Linked DNA regions of Diceros bicornis minor. The protein of the gene in region 2 binds, or shares a complex with, the protein of the main gene of each other region. Links are inferred from orthologs where the notes say so. Each region holds a gene or a part of one and is shown on either strand. Other genes may lie near its edges.

Region 1 (7,801 bases), on a different chromosome or scaffold from region 2:
GCTTTCCTCACCAGGCTAAAATCTGCGTCCACTCCGACCTCACTCTACACTCCAGTCTGCTCCCTCTTCCTGCCCATCCTCACCACTCCATGTGTGGGCGCCGTGCTGGACGTGGCAGGAGGGTGCATAGCCCAGGGGGTCCCTCGCACAGAGGGAGCAGCACTCACATGGGATACATGTGCCACAGGGCACCAGTGCCTGATGGGAACACGTGGGGGTTCACAGACCAGTGGGCTTCTTGGAGGAGGTGGCACTTCAGTTGGGCCTCGAAGGTGGGAGGAGGCAGAGATGAGAGTGGCTGCCTGGATGAGGGAAGGGCATGAGCAAGGCCCGCAGAAGGGAAGCCTGAGGCCTGGGAACCGGGAACCAGGCCCTTGTTTGGAGGAGGCCGTGCTGATGACTCCTCTTTCACAATCTCGCCCCCGGCTCTGCCCACAACAGCTGGCCGGGGGTGGGGGGAGGGCGGCTTGGCTGTCTGCACGGAGATGTGGCCATTTGTGTTGGCCGAGGGGAGCCCTGTGGAGCCCTGTGAGCCTGGCCACTGTGGCGGCCTTCAGAGCCTGACTGGAGGCAGGTCTTTCACAAACTGGCCCCCCCCCGGGCCATACTGGAGCCTGAGGCAAAGGAATGGCAGTCTGACCACCCTGCCTGTATCTAAAATGCTGATTCTTTGTCCATGTGGACTGTTGTATTAGCTTCGATGTACTTAAATACTGTGTTGGAGTACGGTTGATCTGGACGACTGAGTTCTTGGCAGCCCCTTGGATGCCGTGCCCAAGGCCAGTGCCTCACTTGCCTCACTCTGGCCCCTGCCCCATCCAGGTGCCCAGTTGGGGCCGGGACCCAGCACATCCCTGGAATTGGAGAGGTCTCTGGGCCCTGGGCTTAGCCGTGGGCCTCGCATCCCCACGCAGCTGAGCAGAGAGGATGTGACCTTCTGTTGCTGCCAGCACTTTCTGTTCCCCTCTTTGCTGAAATCAGGTATGGGAAACACCCCGCCCCCTCCCACTTTGGGCGGATGACGATGAGGGGGAAGCCACTGGGAGGGGGATGGGGAGAGGTGGATGGCACACAGCTGGGAAGGGGAATGGGGACATCATTAGGGGGAAGGGGGGATGGAGGCACAGGGTGGGCCCACTCTGCCCTCAGCTGGCTCCTGGCCCCCCCTCCTGCTCTCACAGTCCCTTCTATCCTCCTCCAGCCATACCAGCTCAGGCTTGCTCTCAGGCTGGCCACTGTGCCACCCACCTAGCAGGAAAACGAGGCTCCATCAGATGGAAACATTCTCAAACTCCACCCCTAGCCTGATCCCCTGCCACCCCATCCCCAGGTCACCCGCAGGCACTGTCCCCCACTAGTGGGGCTTCTCCTGTCCCATCTCCCCATGATCCTGGGGTCTTCTCTTAGCATTCAGACCTGCCTCAGCTCCATGAGGGAGGGCGGGATGGTGACCCCTGCCCGGCAGCACTGTCCCCAGCCCTCTCCTCTCCTCCAGGGAGTCCTCTCCTGGCTGGGTCTGAGGCCCTCACTGGTTCTTCTCAGCCTCATTCCCTTTGTCCCCTCGCAGGTCTGTCCCCTGCTGAGGGCAGTTAACGGAGCCCAGGCCGAGCCTCAGAGCCAGAGCAGAAGCAGCCCGCTGTGCCTGCCTTGCCGAGTGCGGACGGGACGGCAGGAGCTCCACCAAGGCCAGAGCCAGGGCGAGACTGGCACATCCAGATGCGTGGGCCTCGTTTGGACCCGGATTGGGACGAGCTACCTGGGAGAGGTTTTCTCTGTGAGCCAACATCAGGAGATTGACCAGCAAGGGAACAATGTAAAGAACTAGCATTTTTCCTCGGGCACGATGACGGCGCTGTGGGGTGACTTGACAAAGCCCTTATCTGCTAGAAATACACACTCAGGTGACGTTGGCTGAGCTGACAGCGTATCTGGGATTCCCTGGGATGGGGTGGGGGTGGGGACTGACCCCAGTGGGCCGGGCCGAGACATGGGCATCTATCTCTGTACTAGAGCCCCTACTTCGGTGTGCACTTGAAACTTTCCACAATAAAAACTTTATAAACATAGAGAAATAAGTGTGTGGCTGTGGAAAGTTCTGAGAAGGGTGAAGCCCATCAGTTATACGGGCAGACGAGGTGGCCGGTCAACAAGGGGACATGTAGGGGGAGAGGGGCCGGCGCTGCAAGTCCAGATCATTGGCTTGAGGTCCCTCCAACCGGCAACTTGCTCCACGCTGGCCCCTGCCCCAGCTGCCCTGCCCGTGCCCTGGGCATCTCTCTCATGGCCTGTGACTCCTCTCCGCGGACTAAGTAGGCTCCTGGGGTGCCACACCATAGGCCATGGCAGAGAGGGGACTGCACCACGTGAAGTGGTTTGGGGTGCAGGGCAGACCATGTCCTCCTCCCTGTGGGGTGGGGGAGGGGGACTGGGCGGGGGAGCAGCCAGTGTCTCTGTCATCTCCAAGGGACACACAGGGACCGAACCTCCTGTGAGAAATGCCCCGACCCAGGCTGCAGGAGACCCACCTCCTGCCCACCACCCACCTGGCACTGCTCCAAATCCCCTGCCATTCGAGTCCCCTGGGGCCACCAGGGCCCTCACCTAGGAATTCTTCCAGTCCTTGCCCTTGCAGCTGCTACCCCACTGCGGGGCTTCTTCCTGCCTATCCCCCTACAGGAAAGCCGCTATGTGCCTCTGAGGCCCCATGCTGCTCACTTACCCATCCATCCATCCATCCATTCATTCATTCATTCATGTATGCATTCAGCAAACATGACTGAGCATGGAGGGGTGCTGCTGAGAATAAGAACAGGGAGCAGGAGGGTCAGGGGTTGAAGGAGGCCCCCAGCAGCACGCCCTCAGGGCCTGGCTGTGCCTAGGGATGGGGGACAGGGAGGCTTGGTTCCACTGGTCATGAGGGGTCATGAAAAGGTTATGTAGGGGGTGTAAGAGGTCCTGAGAGGGTCTGAGGGGGTCCCGAGGCATTGCTGGCTCTCAGTTGGGCGGCTCCCGCCTGTGGTCACATCTCCGTCACATAGCAGCAGGGGACAGCACGGGGGCAGAGGGGCTGAGGGTGTACTTGGGGCTGCCTGCCCTGGTCCTGGCCCCATCCACCCCCCAGAGTCCCAAACCCACACCAGAGCTGCGAGGGCAGCCCCCCGGACAGCGTCCCTCCGCTCCCCCTCCTACCCACTCTGTCCCCTTCGACAGCCACCCCTTGGGCGGTCACTCACCCAACAGCTCCACCGCCTTCTTCTTGCCGCACGCAGCGGCTCCGGAACGCGGCAGTGGCAGTGAGGTGGCCGCCTCGAGACTGGAGCCGCAGGTTCCTGCCTCCCGCCGCCTCCGCCCCCTCGGCCGCCTGCTGAGTGCTCCTCTGCCCTGCAGGCCTCCTTCCGCTTTCTCGGCCTCAGGCTCTGATTGCAGGCCGCTCCTGGGGTGCCGCACCCCCGCGGCCCTCCCTCCGCCAGCCGCACGCCCTCCCCACCGCCCTGGGTCTTGGCCTCCCCGCCCACTGCAGCCCCGCCCGTCTCCCAGGTGGGCTCCCACTCAAGCGCTTGCGGGGTCTCCCGCGGCCCTGCTCTCCGGCGGTGACCCCGGCCAAGGAGGCTGAGGGGCAGAGCACATCTCGCCCCTGCTTCAGAGTCAACCGCCAGTGTCCAGCAGCCCGATGTGGAGCAGGAAGGCGAATCTGCCTCCCCCTCCCCGCCCCCAGGGCAGCGGGCCTCCAGCCTTGGCTGATTGGGCCAGTCGGTCCAGGGTAGATCCCAGAAGTGGTGGGCCTTAACCTGCATGTGCCCCAAGACACACGGAGGTAGGAGGTGCTCAGCTGCCCTTGAGAAACACTCTGCAGGGGGTTCTGTATTATCCCCTTGACACTCCTTGGACCACTGACCTTCCGAGACACTTCCTCTGGAGGATGGGCAAGACACCCATTGATAGAGATGGGGACAGACAGTTCACAGAAAAGGAAATGTAAACAGATCATTAAAGATATGAAAAGATGCTGTCTGGTTATCCTGACAGTTGGCTTTTCTTTTTGTAATGCAAGTGCCTGACTTAAATTTTGATTGCCGAGGCATCAAAGATGCCTGTGAATGCCGAGGCATTCACAGATGGCCATCTTGAATACACACTTTGCCAGCTGCAGGAGAAAGAGCCAGCACTCCCTCTTTGTTTTAGAGATCTAGGTTGATTTCCATAACTGCCCACTGGGGCCACTGGGTTTTTTTTCTCTCCCTGCACTTTAAATTCTTGCTTTCACGTTTTAAATTCAGCATTAAAGAGTGAGCCCTGGAAACCCTAGACCCCCACCCTTGACCCCAATTTAGGAGCAGAACCCCAGGCCCATGCTCTCTCTCTACCCACGACCTTGCTGTGTGGCCCCAGGTGTGCTGTGTAATTTCCAGGACCTGTACATAATAAGCCTTTATTTTTTCAAAGTTTCCTGATGGTTATTGCTGAAGGGCATCTTGCAATCATAGAACCTCAAGGGCTGGTCCAGCCACAACACTGGTTATGGATAGGCTGAAACTGGCACACAACACACCCTCAATGGACTCCTAATAAGAGAACTATAAATTAAAAGTCCACTGCAATACTGTTTCTCCCCTGTCAGATGGCAAAATCTGAGAGTTTGACAATAATCTATGGGGGGATGACATCCTTGGATGTCGTTGATATTTAGCATGGTACAAACCCCCATGGAGGAGATTTGGCAATATCCAGCAATATTAGAGCTGCAGTGGCCTTTGACCCAGTAATCCCACCCCTAGGGATCTATTCTACGGACAGATGGTAGAACTAAGACAGAGATGCCTGACAGGCTCTTCCTTAGAGCACGGTTGAGTAGCACCAGCCTGGAAACTACTCAAGCGTCTGTCCATGGGGCTTTGGTTGCATGAAGTATGTTCCATCCACACCATGGAGCACCGAGCAGTTGTAAAAAGGAAGGAGAAATATCTCTATACACTACTACATGGTTATCTCTAAGTGAAAAAAGGCTGTTCATGCTTATTTATTTATATAGGGCCAGCAGCTTATATTTTTACAAATGGAAGGATAAGCCATAAAACTTGTTTTAAATTAAATTGTTACCTATAGGGAACAGGTGAAGATGAGGTAAAGGAAGATAGGGGATAGAAACTAGACTTCTCTGAATACACCTTGGCTTATAGATTTGGCTTTATTATTATTATTATGATTTTTTTTTTAATTTTTTGTTTATTGCAGTAACATTGGTTTATAACATTGTAAAAATTTCAGGTGTACATCATTGTACTTCTATTTCTGCATGGACTACATCATGTTCACCACCAAAATACTAATAGATTTGGCTTTAGAACCATGTAAATATTTAGGTAATTACTAAATTAAATTAAGTTATATTTTAAAAGGAATTATTAAATTTGAAAGCAAGATGAAACCAATTAACTTGCATTATCAGTTGGTAGCATAACCCTACCAAACTCTTCCAAGTGACTTTAAAATCCAGGATTTTGACTGTAGATCTATATAGCTTGAGTACAAAAAGAATAATGTTTCATTTTCTGTAATTGTTTTCCAAATAATTTTAAAACATAGTTTTGTTGGTACACCTAGATAAAAACATCTTAAATTGCTTTCAGCAATCATGCTGTTGATGGTAGTGTTGGTACTGTTATTTTGAGGTTATTGTGTCATAAAATGAATGAATAATTATGTTGGGCATTATTGAGATTTCTGTGTGGGGTAAAGCAGATGCAGATGTCTTATCGATAAAGTTAAGTCGATAAGGTTAAAAACCATGTAGATCTGAATTTGAGTGGAAAGTGTCAGTATGTACTCGTACTGTGTCTTATCTTAAACAGAAAACTTCTGAGTTCTGTTCACCAACAAGGCCTAAAAACAAGCACCTGTACCATCCAGACTGTGGTCTCTAGAGATCATTTCTCTGAAAGAGGAAGAGGCGCTCCTGAGAGAAGTGGATGCTTTCAGCTCTGGGTTAGGAAATGTATAAGATGAGCCTGGAATAGCTTTTCATACTAGAGAACAAAGCAGATCACGACTGTTGGCCAATGTCAAAGGGACTCAAGACTCAACTCACATTCACCCCCATGGGCCAAAGATGAGATGATTTGAATACAATAAGGAGAATAATTTCAATGAATTGGAACACAAAAAATGTTTAAATCCATGAAGCTGTAATTATACTTAAAAAAACAAACTCAATCACTTCATGATTGGTGGTGGTCTTGCCCAAAACAAAAATCACACCTGAACCTGATGAAGCATTTGAGCTAACCCCCCAGTGAAAGGAGCTAGAGAAGACACGGAACACTGTCATGACACTCCAGGGTGCAAGCTGCAGACTCCTGTCTGTGGGCCACTCTGCAGGGCAAGGCACCCAGAACAAGAGTCAAGAGGCGGTTGAGGAGATGGAGGAGAAGGCCATTGCTTAAGAGGCTTGATGACACATTAGTCAGTGGAGGGCATGAATGTTACCTGGATGCTATTGACCTGCTGGTGTCCAGGTGGCCAATTAGGACACTGAGCCCAACTGCAAGTCACAATTGAGCCTTTATCCATCTAGTGCAATAGTGCAGGCAAGAGGCTAAAGAAAGGTGGTGGCTTCTCAGGGTTCCACTTTGCCCCATGGGACACCAGGTGAGAGTCAAATGATGTGCAGATGGGGTGGGGAGGGGATCATCACACTGCCGAGGAGTCCCAAACATAAGGCTCCTGCCTTTGCATGGACCCTGTTGCATGGACTGGTGGACAGAGGCAGAAGGCTGGGAGTGCAAAGTACTGAGTCAGGGTGGAGAATAGGGCCTCAACCAAGGACCCCGGTAAGGAGGCTTCTTGGTGGTATCTGGGCAAGGAATGCAGATGTGTGAAGAGTGCACTGGCCAGGAGGCTGAGCCCTCAGTTGCAGCTCCCCTGAGCGACTGCAGTGCACTGACTGCCCCAAGTCTGGGGTAGGGAGGGCACCTCCCAGGAGGCTTGCCAGCAACACCTTGTGATTGCCAATGGGAAGCCGGAGAGATCACACACAGGATTTGGGCCTGGAGCCTGAGATCCCTATCCAATCAAATATATTATTTTTTAAAATGTATACGACTATGGGGAAAATGTGAAGACTGACTGCATGTTTGATGAAATTAAAGTCATCTACCTTTTTTGGTTAGATGTGGTCCTAGAATTGTGACCATGATTTTCTTTTTCTTTTTTTGGTGAGGAAGATTGGCCCTGAACTAACACCTGTTGCCAATCTTCTTCTTTTTGCTTGAGGAAGATTGTCCCTGAGCTAACAGGGACACTGTGTCAATCTTCCTCTATTTTGTATGTGGGATGCTGCCACAGCATGGCTTGATGAGCGGTGTGTAGGTCTGCACCCAGGATCCAGGCCCATGAACCCTTGGCCGCCAAAGTGGAGTGCACGAACTTACCCACTACACCACTGGGCCAGCCCCTGGGATCACGTATTTTTAAAAGTCTTTATCGGAGAGTGACATCAGCATCACAGCAGAATGAGTTGTTCCCTTTGTCTCTCTCCTCTAAGTTACAACCAAACAGACATCCATTGACCACCAGAGGATTCCCTACATAGCACAACAGGATGCCTAAGAGATCCAGGCAGCTATACATCTGAAGGTGGGTGGACTGGACCCCAAGGAATCAGTGGGACTATGGGGGCAGCACCCCTTCCCCCAGTGGCAGCAATCCAGGGCCTGGATCCTCATGCAGTGGCCTGCTCAGTTGTGAGTGGAGGTGAGGGTGGCCCAGCTCGTGGAAAACGGCTGGTGGAGTGGTGGCGGAAGCA
Region 2 (7,129 bases):
TCTATGGTGACTCACAGTTAAGTACAGTTAGCTACTTGTTTCTTAAGTTTGAACTTCATACACGTGGGCATTAGGGGCCTAACCACCATTTTGGCAAATCAGAAAGAGCACTGGATTCAGAGTCAAAAGAGGGTGCTCTGTAATTGGCCAAGCTGAGTTAAACTTTTCTTCCTCTCAGCTTCCTCCTGTGTGATGGAAGCGAGGTTAATGATGGGTGTTCCTAGTCAGGCTACTGTGAGCAGAGAATGAGATAAAGTAGGTCAAAGTGCTTTGGGGCGTTTAAAACATTACACAAACGTAAGGGATTTGTATTACGGGAGGGCTAGGGAATTCCCTTTCTCTTCTAGTATGGAAAGGAAGGAAGATAGAAAAAAATCCATGCCTGTTTTATCTGTGAGAAAGGATTAGAATCCATCTATTTTATATGAAGATGAGATAGAGCAGAGTTGTGTAACAAGAATGCTGGATGTGTCATCATTCTTACTAGAAAATTAACACAAGGTTTAATAACATCAGTAATGTGACTGATTTTTAAGTAAACATATCCAAATGGGTGTTGTCCTATCCAGAGCAGTGAGCAGTCATCTTGGCAGGTGAAATACTTATTTAAATTATATTTCTCATGATTCAAAGAAAAATTTTTTTAACTCCTCTTTTGGAATTATTCCTAGAGCCTCTGGCACATTCTTTTGAATATGTCTGAGGGTGACAAATTTTTGTCTTTTGTGGCTAATACTGATTTCTGTAAACAGCCCAAAGTTATTTCGCATGAAGACAGTAAGTGACCTAAGCAACACCATTTTTTTTAATTGAAAAAAAGCTATGACTATAAGATAGGAAGCTGATCTTTCTTTCAGTTCAAACAGAAGAGTTAAAAGTAGTAGATTTCAAGAATTGGCAGTATTGTTGGGAATGGCTTGTTCCTTCCTAAGGTGACCACATCAGAGGAGAAAGGCCATTTGGAAATGTCCATTTCTACATTTTTAGTCACACATTCATTATTTATCTTGCAGGACTGTTTGCCATTAGATCTTGAGTTTCCAGAAAGAAAAGAGCATAGGAACAAATCAACCATTCAATCATTTTATCACAGCTCCTTGGGGCATCTGAAGCCCTCATTTGCACATGGATTAACTGGCTAGCAACAATACAGATGTTTCCAATGAATTAACAATGAGTCTACTGGAAATATAGCACTCAGCAGATCCAATAGACTCTCTACTCTCTTAAAAAGTTTGGATTTTTTTTTCAGTTATGAAACAACCTATCTGAAAATTAAAACATCACTAATATCATTACACTGTAACAATGCAACTGCTAGGGTAGATTTGCTTCTGGTGCAAATAATTTAAATTGTTAATGTTATTTCAAAATAAACACAATTGTACTTTCATTTATTGAATATTACACATTGTGGGTATTTCAATGTTAAATGATGTCAATGACATTGCTTTTATGGAAAATATTATTTTCCCTACCTCATTTTTTATTGTGGTAAAATTCACATAACATCAAATTCATCATTTGACCATTTTAAAGTGTACAGTTCAGGGGCATTTATGTTCTGCAACCACTACCACTATCTAGTTCCTAAACATCTTCACCACCCCAAAAAGAAACCCTGTACCCGTTAAGAAGTCACTCCCAATTCTTCTCTCCTCCTAACCCCTGGCAATTATTAATCTGTTGTTCCTATGGATTTATCTATTCTTGACATTTCATATAAACGGAACCTTACAATATGTTGCCTTTTATGTATGGCTTCTTTTGCTTAGCATAATGTTTTCAGCGTGCATCCATGTTGCAGCATGTATCAGCACTTATTTCTTCTTAGGGCTGAATAATTCCATTGTATAGATATACTACATTATGTTTATCTGTTCCTCCACTGATGCATATATGGGTTGTTCTCACCTTCTGGCTATTCTGAATAGTGCTGTCATGAACAGAGGTATATAATTTTTTGTTTGAACACCTGTTTTCAATTATTTTTGATATATACCCAGGAGTGGAATTGCTGGGTCATATGGCAATTCTATGTTTAACTTTCTGAGGAACCACCAAACCTCTAACTCATTTTTATGCTTACAATTTCAAGGTGGCCTGATTACCAGACAGTTAGAAGCATTTGTACTACTGTAGCCAAACCCCAGGCTGGGCCCAAAGAGGTCTCTTTTTCAGAAACGCTGATTAGAGCAGCTAGGCTTGATCCGAGCCAAGCTGTTCCAACACAAGGTTACGGGCAGGGCTTTGAACAGCTTTCTCTGCTGCTCTACATGTCACAGCATGAACTGGCTGGGCAGGAATATCTTCCTGCCTCCTAGGCATCCTTGGTTCTCCATTATGTTGCACACGCTTTGGGTGGAAAAAAAAAGATGTTAACTACCTAGCTTACAGGCTTCGCTCCTTCTCTTTTTGCAGAAGAGTTCAGATTAGCACCAGGAGTCCATGTAGGAATGGTGCTTCGGAGGCAATGCTACACCTCAGTTCTGAGCAGAGATTCGTCCTTTCATGATGGGAGAACAGGGCCTCCTGAACACTAGTTGAGACTAGAGAGAGATCTTCCATCCATCCGGGGTAGACTTGTACCATACATTTTGCTTGAAGGCACTGCCCAATGATTCTGACCCTATCAATCTATAGATACTGAAGTTGAACCTACCCTACTCTGTATGTTGTACATGGTCCACCCTATGGTCTTGGCCAGGACAACAGGAGATAATCTTACTACATGCATTGTTTACTGCAGCTAATTTACTGAGTCATGAGTCTCCTCAACCATTAACCCAACCCTGACAGTACACTGATGAGCACTGATTTTTTTTATTTAAACCTGTTCATGAGCCTCAGAATGCTGATCTCTTAGCTCCACTGCCTAACACATAGGTAGTTTCTGAGCTACAGGAGCTCAAATCAAGAAGTATTATGATTGCACTGCCAAAAACAGACATGGACCAAAACGGCTTTTTCCCCTTGAAACTAAATATTAAGAATGAAGAAGTTGGCTTCCGGGGCCCTTGCTAAGCAGTCTCTCTTCCAACTCAGCTGTCACTTGTCACTTGTCTCCTGGCAGCCCTTTCAGGTGTCCTGGCCTGAATCTGCTATTAGAACAGAAAAAAGTCCCTTGGCTGGTCATATCCTCTGTAATCTGGCAGGAAACCTAAAATTTGCCTGCTCCCGTCCTCGGTCTGTTTGCTTATCTGCTTCCTTGTAGGGAAGAGTCTGCATCACAGTGTCCGGTTCAGGGGGATTTTCACCATGACCTCACCCTCCTCCAGCTACCATCCACTGATTTCAGCGCGGCAGCTCGGGGATCCACATTAACAACCCCTCCTTGCCCATCTCAGATTAACATCAACTCGAGTTATTTCTCCTCAACGGAGGGTCTTTGCAGAGGTCTGAGAATGCCAAAAAGAGCTGGGGGCGGGGGGAGCTGGGGCGGAGATTGACGACGTTTGGTTATCATTCTGGGCTTGGGAGAGCAGGATGTCAAGGGAGCCACCTTAAGAAAACGCATCAGAAGTCTTCCAGGCTTGCGCCCACTGTTCGAATAACTTTCGATCCAATGGCCTCGAAGTAAGGCGCGCGAACGGTGACAGCAAGCGGCGGCGGGCACGTAACCCGGGTGTAAGAACGGCGGGAGCGGTTGGGAGGCCCAAACGGAGTGTCCGGGATCCGGTCTCCGGCCTCCAGAGCTCGGGGAAGTAGCCTTTCTGCCCCTAAGTGGGCGCAGCTCATTAAAGGTAAACAAAGTCGAGCTCCGCAGACTAAGAGCGCCCCCGACCTGGCGGGAGACCACGTGACCGCTCCTAGCGGGGGCCCCCCCCCCGCCCACCGCCCCCGCACGAGCCCGCCGGCGGCCGCGGGCACGCGAGCTAGAGCGTGGCTCGCCGGCCCAGAGCGGGAGGCGGGAGAGCGGGCGCGGCGTGCGTGCGCGCCCCCGGGAGGCAGCGAGCGCGCGCACGCCCCTGGGGCCACCGCCCCTCCCGGGCCCGCCCTCTTACCCTCCCTCCCCGCTCGCCTGGCCCGCCCTGCGCGGCCCGCCCTGCGAGTCAGTCGCTCGTTCCCTCCCTCCCCCGGCGCGCTCGGGCCGCCGCAGCGCTCCCCGCCCTCGAGCCGCGGAGCCGGAGCCGCCCGCCGCCCGAGGAGGAGGTGGAGGGAGCCGGAGGGGCCCGCCGAGGCGGCGGCGGCGGCGGCAAGATGGCGGACTTCCTGCCGTCGCGGTCCGTGCTGTCCGTGTGCTTCCCCGGCTGCGTGCTGACGAGCGGCGAGGCCGAGCAGCAGCGCAAGTCCAAGGAGATCGACAAATGCCTGTCCCGGGAGAAGACCTACGTGAAGCGACTGGTGAAGATCCTGCTACTGGGCGCGGGCGAGAGCGGCAAGTCCACCTTCCTGAAGCAGATGCGGATCATCCACGGGCAGGACTTCGACCAGCGTGCGCGCGAGGAGTTCCGCCCCACCATCTACAGCAACGTGATCAAAGGTGCCGGGCCGGGGTCGGGGGGCCGAGGGCGGGGGCCGGGGGCGGCCGGCGCGGGGCCGGGCACCGCCCTCGTTCGCTCTGTCCCTGGCGGAGGAGCGGGCCCGGCGAGCGGGCGGGAAGGGGGCGCGGCCAGGGCACCGTCCCGCCTGCCCGGGGTGCCGTCGCGCCCCAGGGAGAGGATGTCGGGGGGCCCCTCGCTTCGCCCTTCCCGTCGGAGTGGGGGTCACGGCCAGCCCCTTACCCCCCACCCCGCCGTTGGCCTCGCCCCCTCCGAGGGGGAAGTGAGGCGAGCCCGGTGCCCGGGCTCCGGGGCGACCTCTCCTGTCTTCTTCCCTCCAGACGAGGCGGGAAGACCCGAGAGCCAACCCCTGCACCCCCACCCCCTGCTCGGGCGCTGCCTGCCCAACCTCGCCGCCCCGGGTGGGTGACCCGAGTCAGATGGGGTCGGGTCTGCTCCCAACTCCCCGCTTCCTTGGCCGCCTCCTGAGCAAGGGATTTCTGGAACCGTTGCGATAAGAAAACTTTTGCCTGAGACTCTTGTCAAGGGCGAAGAGTGACAGGCCCTGGGGCATTTTTGGGCAAGGATGTGAAACTTGAGGGTGTCATGTTTACTGTGCTGGCATCAGGAAAGGGTAGACCCATACAGTTCGTCTGAAAAAATTAGCATCAGTGGTTTTTCGCCTCAGTGTCACGGTCGGGCAGGATGTTTGCCTGTAATCACTATGCAACACGTTCCACTCTCCTTTTTGCTTAATAACTGGGGGCGGGCGGAGGGGAGGGGGTACCCACCACTTGCTTCTACTATTTAAATGAAGTCGTGCTTTGATAGGAAGAATCTTTGGCCTAAAAGTGATGCGGAGCCTGTACAGGTTGAGTCAATGAATCGTCGGCTTGAATCATAGGCTCTGCTTCTGACAGTATTTTTAAAATTAAAGGTAAACTTTGTCCTTGAGTGAAAAGTTAACAAGAATTTTATGTCTGGGCTTTCAAAGAATTAGAGATGATGGTTTTTATTTTGTCATTTGAACAGTAATTAGAACTCATTTTTCTTAGTATCAGATGTTTTCTGCATAAAAGGCATTTTCGCAAAATTGAGATGCAGAGCCTGGTACTTCAGGTGCATCAGGATTCTTTTTATTTTATCTGGGTAGCAATTACTTAGGAGTTTGCTACAGATTTCGGGTGTTTTCAAGCAGTGTTTTTTTAAGTGGGATTCTTTTATTCTGGAAGTACTTAAGCAACTCCTTTGTGTGGCTTTTTTTTCTCCCAGGATTGGGTAGAGGAAAACTGCTTGGGCTGGGGGGAGTACTGGGGGGTAATGGAGGGGAGTAAAACACAGGGCCAGGAGTTCACAGACCACAGCTAGCTCTGAGCCCTAGTATCGCTGCAGTTAAGCTGTGCGAAAAGTTGTGCTTATCCTATCTTAATGTTGAGCACAAAACTAAGGTCCCTTTCAAGGCCGAAGACTCCGCCTTGCCAGTCTTTAATTGAAGGTACCTTTGTATCCTGATGCAGCTGATCTTATGGAATTATGTCAAAGAATAGAGTCAACATGTTAACTGATTATGAGCCAGGTAAACACCTGGTTCTTAATGTGCACTAGGTCCTAAGTGTGACCTACTTTGAGCATTGTTTGTGAGATGAAGTCACTAGACATCTACTTTTTTTGAGTTGGCATGATGAGAAAATTGACAGCAAAACAATTTTTCAGTTGTCCAAACAAATGACTTAATAGTCATGTGACTATTAAGATGGACCAAGGTAACAGTTTAGTGATAGAAATATTGAGTTTGAACTAATCTCTGTGAGTGGAAATCTCTCTCTCTTTTGCAGTTGATCTTCCTCCCTTTTAGGGAAATCGAAGGCCATCCTGTGACTTACACTGATTTGAAGCTTGGTATGAGAGAAGTGTTTGAGTTTTGAATGTGATCCTAGAAGACTCAGTGTTGGCTTATAAGCAGGGTGCTCAGGGAACAAACAGAACACAGCGATAATGTTTGGTTCTTGGCGTTTCATAAATAAATGTCTTTGAGAGGCTCATAAAATCTTGGTTGCAGCCGTTTTCTCCAGAGCCTGGACATCGGGCTATGCAGTATAATTTCTTTTTCCTTCACTAGTTTTAGTTCTCTTGTGACTACCTTCTACCCCAGAAGTTATTTTATAAATTAGAAATGTGAAAAGTCTTCAGAAAGAACAATTATGTTAATAGTATTTGCTTTTCAAGGCTCTAATTTTATGACTCTGAACAACTGTTAGTTTTTTTAAGCTCTGAGAAGTTATGGTGTTTGTTTTGATGTTGGTCTCCATTTTGGAGGTGGTGGGCCTGGAGCAGTTAAGAAGTTTAAGAAAATAATACTGGAATAGAATCTATGAGAATATCTAATGACTCCTATCACACTTTTTTTTTTCTTTTTAAACAAAGGTATGAGGGTGCTGGTAGATGCTCGAGAGAAGCTTCACATTCCTTGGGGAGATAACTCAAACCAGCTCAATGGAGATGTGATGATGGCATTTGACACGCGGTCCCCCATGGCGGCCCAGGGCATGGTGGAAACCCGGGTTTTTCTACAGTACCTTCCTGCTATAAGAGCCTTATGGGCCGACAGTGGCATACAGAATGCCTATGACCGGCGTCGAGAATTTCAG
Region 3 (7,084 bases), on a different chromosome or scaffold from region 2:
ACAGAGAAGAATGTTCCTCCTCTCACCAATGACTGATGTGGTCCTGAGTGGTACCCACCGCCCTTCTGTCCTGACCCGCCAGGGCAGGGATGCAAGTCACTGAATCTGGACTGGGGCGGGGACTTGAGATGAACAAGGAGGCAGAGAGCTTTAGTCCAAATCCCACCACTACTGTGTGCCTCAGTTTCCTCATCTCTAAAATGGGGTGACAAGGAAAAGGCAAAACTATGGAGACGGTAAAAAGATAGTGGTTGCCAGGGGTTGGGGGGAGGGAGGGAGGGATGAACAGGCAGAGCACAGAGGATTTTTAGGGCAGTGAAACTGTTCTGTGTGATACAATGATGGTGGATACGTGTCCTTCTCATTTGTCTAAACCCATAGAATGTACAACACCAAGGGTGAACACTAATGTCAACTATGAACTTGGGGTGATAATGACATGTCCATGCCAGTTCATCAGTTATAATCAATGCACCCTTCCGGGGCCATGTTGATGGTGGGGGAGCCTGGGCACATCTGGGGGCAGAGGGTATACGGGAAATCTCTGTACTTTCCACTCAGTTTTGCTGTGAACCTGAAACTGCTCTAAAAAATAAAGTCTATGAAAAAAAATGGGATGATGATAATAATAACACCCACCTCACAGGGTTGTGAGGATTCATAGGGCCGCACCCAGCACAGCCCGTGTCTGTCGCATGAGTGAGCGTTAGCCATTATTGTCAGAGGCCCTGTAATTAGTGGAGGCTGGTCCAATTCTCTTCCTTCTGTATTTCCCCTTCCTGGGACTCCCCAAGAAAAGGGCCTTGCTTCCTTCCTCTTCCACAGTTCTCACTCAGGGTCTCCCCTAGGGCAGGGCCCAGCTTTGCATTTAACCCCTCCAGACCATCAGGAAGTCTAGGCCTTCAGTGGTTTCCATTTCTCCAGCCGTCCCCTCAGCTGACCCGGCGGAGACCTCGTGTTGTGTCAGATGTAGGAGGCGGTGGGGTGGGGGGGAGGTGGAAGTTGCTTGTGAGTGCCTCTGTGTGCCTCAGGGGACATCACCTTTATCTAGGAGCCATGGTCCCTGTAACAGACAGCCGGATACGTCTGTGGCCTTGACATCACCCCCACCCCCAGGTCCCTGGGGGTATGGCAAACTGCTGAGCTAGCCGAGGGCACTTCCTCCGCAGCCTTCAAGTCCCCACAGAGGCTGAGATTTCCGCTCCGATAGCTCCGTGGGGAGGAGAGGACCCAGTTCTCTTTGCACTTTACTCCTGTGGGTTGAACACCTGGTTTCTAGAGGTCGTCCGGGCAACACATGTCACTTGGCAGAGGATTCAGTGAGGTGTTACCGAGGTCCGAGTGGACCCCAAGATCTGGCCTGGAACCAAGTGGACACTGAAATCTGGCTCAGGAAAAGAAGCGAAGTCTCTCTGACTTTTCTTATCTCCCCATAAAGCCCTGCTACCCTGTGTTAGAACTATCTGATTTCTTCTGTCTCCTCCATCGGACTGTCAGCTTGGGACGGCAGAAACCAATGAGGCATCACCAGAGATAGCACAGAGCATTGTATGTTGCATTATATGAATGTATACGCTGCCTACATATATGTAGCATTAACATATTGATTTTTAATATTCATTTCTTTATTAATCACTTACATATGTTTATTCTTAAGATCAATTTATTTAATGGTGATATGTCGATTGTTGATATGTTTATTAACATTATTGTTTATATTATTGATATTATTTATTATTGTTATTACAGGAAAAATTTTACAACTAGACGTCTGGCGATCTGTTTGTTACCTTTTATCTGATTTTTCATGTCTTTGTAAATTTTTTGAATTGGTAATACGAGCTAAAAACTTCCAGTCCCCCAGAGTATACCATGAAAAGTCTGGCCCCTTCTCACCTGTTCCCCTGCTCCCCAGCCCCCCTCCCTGAGGGTAACGGCTGTGACCAGTGGCTTGTGCCTTCTCCCCGAGATGGCCTATGAGTCCACAGGCAAATATGTGTGTATTTATACAGTCCTTATATATACACCTAGACGATGCGTGCAAGCAATGCAAACTGGTCTACTCTGTGTTTTTTTCAACTTAACATCTTGAAGAGTTTCACATCCAGACTACTCCATTTTTTACTTTTTTCTTAGTCATAAATGGATCAATTTTAATTTCCTTTTTGGTTTTGTGTTTTAACACTCTTTAAGAAGTGTAACATACATACAGAAGAGTGCACCAAAAGTCTCCTTTCTTTTTATCAGTTGCATTGTCTGGGTATCAAGCAGCCTTAAATTTTTTAAAATTTCAGCTTTATTGAGGTATCATTGACATATAAAATTGTAAGATAGTTAAAATGTACATCGTGGTGATTTGATAGACACATCGTTAAAGGATTTCCCTTTCTAGTTAAATAACTCACCCATTGTCTCACATATTTCTCTTTCGTGTATGAGAACATTTACGTTCTACTCTCTTAGCAAATTTCACTTATACATTGCAGTGTTATCAACTGAGGTCACTACTGTTTACGTTAGATCCTCAGACCTTATCCATCTTATAACCTAAAGTTGGTACCTTTCCACCAACCTCTCCCTGTTCCCCCACCCCAGCCCCTGGCAACCACTTTCCTACTCTCTGTTTCTATGAGTTTGACTTTTTTTTTTAAGATTCCACATATAAGTGAGACCATACGGTATTCATCTTTCTCTGTCTGGCTTACTTCACTTAACATAATGCCCTCAAGGTCCATCCATGTTGTTGCAAATGACAGGATTTCCTCGTGAGTGAATAATAGTCCATTGTCTGTATACACACATCTTCTTTATCCATTCATCCTTTAACGCACACTTAGGTTGTTTCCAGCTCTTGGCTATTGTGAATTACGCTGCAATGAACATGGGGGTGCAGATACCTTTTTTTTTAGCATTATGCTGTTCAACACTCTTTACTGAAGTATAATATATACATACAGAAGAGTGCACCTACCCCCTCCCTCCTTTTTATTGCATGGTCTGGGTATCACGGAATCTTAATTTTTAATTTAATTTATTGCTGGAATAGGGCACATACGCACGTCACAAAAGTCAATAGGCATGGAAGGATTCACAGAGTGAAAGCAGCCTCCCTCCCATGCCCTGTCTCCTGTCTTTCAATTCCTCGCCCAGGAAATTTACCAGTTTCTTCTTCTTGCCATATTCTGGATATTCTGCATGCATACAGTAGAATATCAGCTCCTCAGAAACACGGAGTTTTGTTCCTTAATAAATGTTTAACTTTGAGAATAGTGTCTGGCACCTACCAGGTGTTTAATGTATTTCATAAATAAACATATAAGCAGATTATGTATACATTTCCACAAATAGTACCCTCCTAAAAGGCTGAATGAGGGGAACGGGAGGAAACTGAAGGATTAAATAGAAGATTGGCCCTAGCTTGGAACGCAGGGCGCAACCTGGGCCTGCTGGTCGACCACAGCGAGGGTGGGACAGCTATCGATAAAGGGAGGGTCGGCTGTTGGGTGCTCCTGGGAGAGGGAGCAGCGGCTGAATTCTGAGGCCTTATCAAGGCAAAGCCAGTCCTGTCTTTGGGGCAGGGCGTGGCACATAGTAGGATCTTGATTATTTGTTAGATGAACACGCACATAGAAGGGGCTTAATGCCTATTTTCTGCGTTGACACATAGTCGGTTCTTAATGGCTCCTTGTTGAGTAAATAAATGGGATCCCGCGCTCTCCTCCAATTCTGGGGTCCCAGGGATGGGCCAACAGTTTATTCGCAACCGAAGACAGTTGTTTCAGGTTGAGGTCACCTGGCCAAGACAGACGTGACGTCACCAGGCTGCGTGACGTCATGCGCCGGCCGGTTCTCACGGGTGGGGGCTGGGAGGGGCAGGGCGGGAGGTGGGGGTGCGGACAAAGGGACCCCGCGCGCCTCCCCCGCCGGCCCCCGCGCGCGCGCCCCGGCTGGCCAGCCACATCTGGAATTCATTGCCGCCGCCGCCGGAAAAGGGAGGAGAAGAGGGCGGGGCGAGTTGGGGGGCCGAGGCGGTGCCTTTCCCCGCCCCCCCTCCGTCCCCGGTCCCCAGCCCCGGGACGCAGCCGAGCCCGGCGGGCAGCCCCAGCCCCAGCCGCGGCCGTCCCGGGGACGCAGACGCCCAAGCCCCTCCGACCAGGGCAGCGACCCGGGCCAGCCTAGCCAGGTGAGCGTGCGTGGCGAGGGGGAGGCAGAAAGGGCGGGCCCCGGTCTCCTGAGGTCGCAGGATCGGAGCTGGGGGGCCTGGCCAGGGGTTGGGGGCGCCCCGGGGCGCGCACGCGCCGCGCGTGCTCCTGCTGCACGGAGGGAGTGGTCACCGTGAGCCCTCTCCACGACTCCAGGCGGCCCCCACTGCCTCGGCCGCGAACCCCCAGACTGCGCTCCCTGCCTTCCCCAGCGGCAGGAAGTTGGCGCCGAGGAGAAGGCGGAATCCGAGCGCTTTCAGTCGCAGACTGGGAGGCAGGACAGCGAGCCCCGCGATCAAGGGTTTGGGGAGTGTGTATGGGGGTGTAGGGCGCCCCTCCTGGCTAACTCGGGCTGGGCGAGGGCGAAAGGTGCTGCGCGCCCTAGAGCTTCCAAGCCAAGGGGCGGGGCCCCGGGGAAGGCAGTCGCCCACTGTCTGCTCATCTGGCTCTCTGCCTCAGTTTCCCTGAGTAGTTCGTCTCCTCCAGTCCGCCCGCGGGGGCGTGGCTTTGTTCTTGAGGGACAGGGAACGTGACTGCGTGGCTCCGGCGCGTCGTCTTTATCCTGGGGATGGGGCCTGGGTGCAGACGTGCGTGCCACAGACCCCGTGTGGTCCCGGGCCCAGCAGAGCGTCGGAACCTCGCCCCCTCCTCCGGCACGAATTGACTCACCCGGGGATTTCCACCCCCTCCCCCGAGTCCGCCCTAGTCAGGTGCTCCGGGCGCCACGCGCTGTGCCCACCGTCCTCCGCGTGGCGCAACGCGGGTGCAGCATTCGTGGTGCGGCTGCTGCTGGAATCTCCCCCCACCCCAACCCCCAGTGCTCCGGGAATGCCAAGGCGGGGCCCCTGGGACGGAGAGGAGCCCCCCACCCCCACTTGGAGATGTTGGGGGTCCCGCGCGTGTGGCTGTCGCGGGAGAGAGGAGGCGCGGCCCCAGCGGCTGCGAGTGTGGATACCGCGCATTCCACGGCCAGATAAGGAGGTCGAGACTGCGGCTGGAGGGCGGGGGCGGGTCCTGCCGCCGTCTCCACGGAGACGCGCTGGGCTTCGCCCGGGGTGGGGGGGCTGCTCGCGGACCAGAGGCGTCTCCAGCCTCCCTTGCTGTTGTTTGGGTCTGGGCAGAGTTTAGGAGCCTCCACCCTCGGGGACCCACTGGGGCCTTGTTGGTCCGTTCATTCATTCATCCGTCCATCCATCCATTCCACATGCTTTCTGAGCACTTCTGTATGCCAGGCATCGTTCCAAAGGGGCTGAAAACCGACTGGGTGGCTGGCCTCCGACACTCACGTTCTACCGTGGAAGCCAGACAGAAAACAAGAAATACAATCATAATTTCCAAAATTTGCAAGTGCTGTGAAGATCATAGAGCAAGATGCTGTGATAGAAAGGGCCTGAGGAAGGCGGCTCGAGTAGACTGGCACGTCAGAGGAGGCCCCTCTGAGAAAGTGCCCTTAAAACTGAAACCTGAAAGATGAGGAGATAGTCGTTCAAGGATTGCGAGGAAGGGCATGCCAGGTGGAGGAACAGCCGCGGCAAAGGCTGTGAGCTGGCGATGGGGGTGGCAGGCAGGAGGCCAGTGTGGTGGGAGTGGAGTGACCCTGGGGGAGAGTGGGAAGAGACTAGGTGGGAAGGGGCCAGGCCCTTTGGGGCAGTGGGGAGCCATGGTAGAAGCTGGAGCTGAGCAGTGGCCTAGTGGAGCGCCCCCTGGCTGCAGCGCGGAGAATAGGGGGTGGGGCCTGAGAGCTGAAGAAAGGGGGAGAGGGGCTGCCCTAGGGCAAGAGGCTCATTGAGTGACCGGGAGGAACACTTAACCACAGGAGTTGCCTCTAAGGGGAACTTGGGGAAGGGGTGCCTGGAAGCCACTGAGGCTTCCTCCAGCCTTCCTCTCTCCTTATTTCCCCTTGAACAGTCTTGGTCTGTCTCTCTTCCCTTCCCTCCAAACCCTGTCACTTGTGGCTCTCCCTCCATTGAGGCCAGGGACCGCCTCCTGAGCTTCTGTGTGTAGCCAGCCTGGGAGGCTGACACAGCGAGGGGAAGCTGGCAAGGGCTGTATCGGCCTCGGGGTGACTCTGCCAGCCCCAACCTCCGGGCCCTTCTTCCTCTTTCTGGGAAGCAGACCTGCCGTCAGTTCGCGTGTTAGCAAAGTCGTCGGGATGCAGTGTGGGCCTCAGTTTCCCCTTCTCTAACTAGGAGAGCCGTCCTGCCTTCTGAGGATGCCTTGACAGCCTCCTGGGGCTGCAGAAAGTGAGGGTACAGCGCCCCCTGTCTCTCCCCCCTCCCCCCCAAGAAGACAGACTTGGTCAGTCCCTGGGGTGCAAGGGCTGAACTCATTTCTTATTTCGCCAGGAAACGGCTATAAATCTTTCTCTTGGCCGCCAGACAGGAGACGAGTGGTGGCCCCACATGAGGCGGGGACGGGGCGGCCACGGAACATACCCTGCGCTTCTCGCCCACCAGCAAATGTGTTTCCCAGGCCTGCGATGGGTCTTTGATTGTTAATTATGAACCCCAAGAGGGGCCCAGTAGACCAGGGCAGGCTGGGGGCGTCTGGTCGGGGTGACCCGGCGGTCAGGCCGCGGTTCAAACTCTCCCCTGGGACACCCACACAGCCTTCACTCTGTCCTCGGAAAGAAATGAGCTGCAGCCGCCTGCTGAGGTCCAGATCAGTAGTGCTGGCCGGAGAGCGCCCCCAACGGGCCAATCAAATACCGAGGACGGAGAGCTCAGGCCAATAGGCGAATCGCTCAATGCCCTGGGATTGAAAATGACCCAATCAGAGCGCGTGCTGTTTCTGGCCCGACGGCTGGTCTGGTAAGGCCGAGGCCTGGGCCAAGCCAGCTCCAGGCCGGCTGCAGCGGGCAGAGGGCATCGGGGCGCCAGGGG

Evidence for each region. The genes of interacting proteins can lie anywhere in the genome.
Region 1: the proteins of GNA13 (region 2) and GPR35 are in contact, whole or in part, in a cryo-EM structure (PDB 8H8J), measured with the Homo sapiens proteins. The link is inferred for Diceros bicornis minor from reciprocal best matches to the Homo sapiens genes GNA13 and GPR35. Residues at the interface, in NP_006563.2 of Homo sapiens: Lys46, Arg47, Leu48, Val49, Lys214, Asn215, Val216, Phe218, Arg331, Gln337, Gln338, Lys340, Pro341, Leu342, Tyr343, Phe359, Arg360, Asp361, Lys363, Asp364, Ile366, Leu367, His368, Asn370, Leu371, Lys372, Gln373, Leu374, Met375, Leu376; in NP_005292.2 of Homo sapiens: Phe45, Gln51, Thr53, Thr55, Met59, Asp113, Arg114, Ala117, Val118, Pro121, Leu122, Arg123, Arg125, Arg128, Ala197, Leu198, Arg201, Pro202, Thr204, Asp205, Gly207, Gln208, Ala211, Ala215, Met218, Val219, Ala280, Lys281, Glu282.
Region 3: the proteins of GNA13 (region 2) and S1PR2 are in contact, whole or in part, in a cryo-EM structure (PDB 7T6B), measured with the Homo sapiens proteins. The link is inferred for Diceros bicornis minor from reciprocal best matches to the Homo sapiens genes GNA13 and S1PR2. Residues at the interface, in NP_006563.2 of Homo sapiens: Arg47, Val216, Phe359, Lys363, Asp364, Ile366, Leu367, His368, Asp369, Asn370, Leu371, Gln373, Leu374, Met375, Leu376, Gln377; in NP_004221.3 of Homo sapiens: Ser66, Met68, Tyr69, Leu72, Arg130, Ala133, Ile134, Lys136, Val137, Lys138, Leu139, Tyr140, Tyr209, Ile212, Val216, Ser219, Gln227, Thr228, Leu231, Leu232, Val235, Tyr288.

What each region holds. Positions count from the first base shown.
Region 1 is NC_080776.1:27,586,548-27,594,348, reverse strand, and holds the start of GPR35 (G-protein coupled receptor 35), read right to left. Parts: upstream 3,098-7,801; 5' UTR 2,740-3,097; coding exon 2,720-2,739; intron 303-2,719; exon of another isoform or gene 179-302; coding exon of another isoform or gene 168-178; intron 1-167. UniProt on the Homo sapiens protein: G-protein coupled receptor that binds to several ligands including the tryptophan metabolite kynurenic acid (KYNA), lysophosphatidic acid (LPA) or 5-hydroxyindoleacetic acid (5-HIAA) with high affinity, leading to rapid and transient activation of numerous intracellular signaling pathways.
Region 2 is NC_080757.1:49,823,369-49,830,497, forward strand, and holds the start of GNA13 (guanine nucleotide-binding protein subunit alpha-13), read left to right. Parts: upstream 1-4,056; 5' UTR 4,057-4,200; coding exon 4,201-4,483; intron 4,484-6,905; coding exon 6,906-7,129. UniProt on the Homo sapiens protein: Guanine nucleotide-binding proteins (G proteins) are involved as modulators or transducers in various transmembrane signaling systems.
Region 3 is NC_080769.1:8,930,604-8,937,687, forward strand, and holds the start of S1PR2 (sphingosine 1-phosphate receptor 2), read left to right. Parts: upstream 1-3,987; 5' UTR 3,988-4,183; intron 4,184-4,386; exon of another isoform or gene 4,387-5,183; intron 5,184-7,084. UniProt on the Homo sapiens protein: Receptor for the lysosphingolipid sphingosine 1-phosphate (S1P). S1P is a bioactive lysophospholipid that elicits diverse physiological effects on most types of cells and tissues.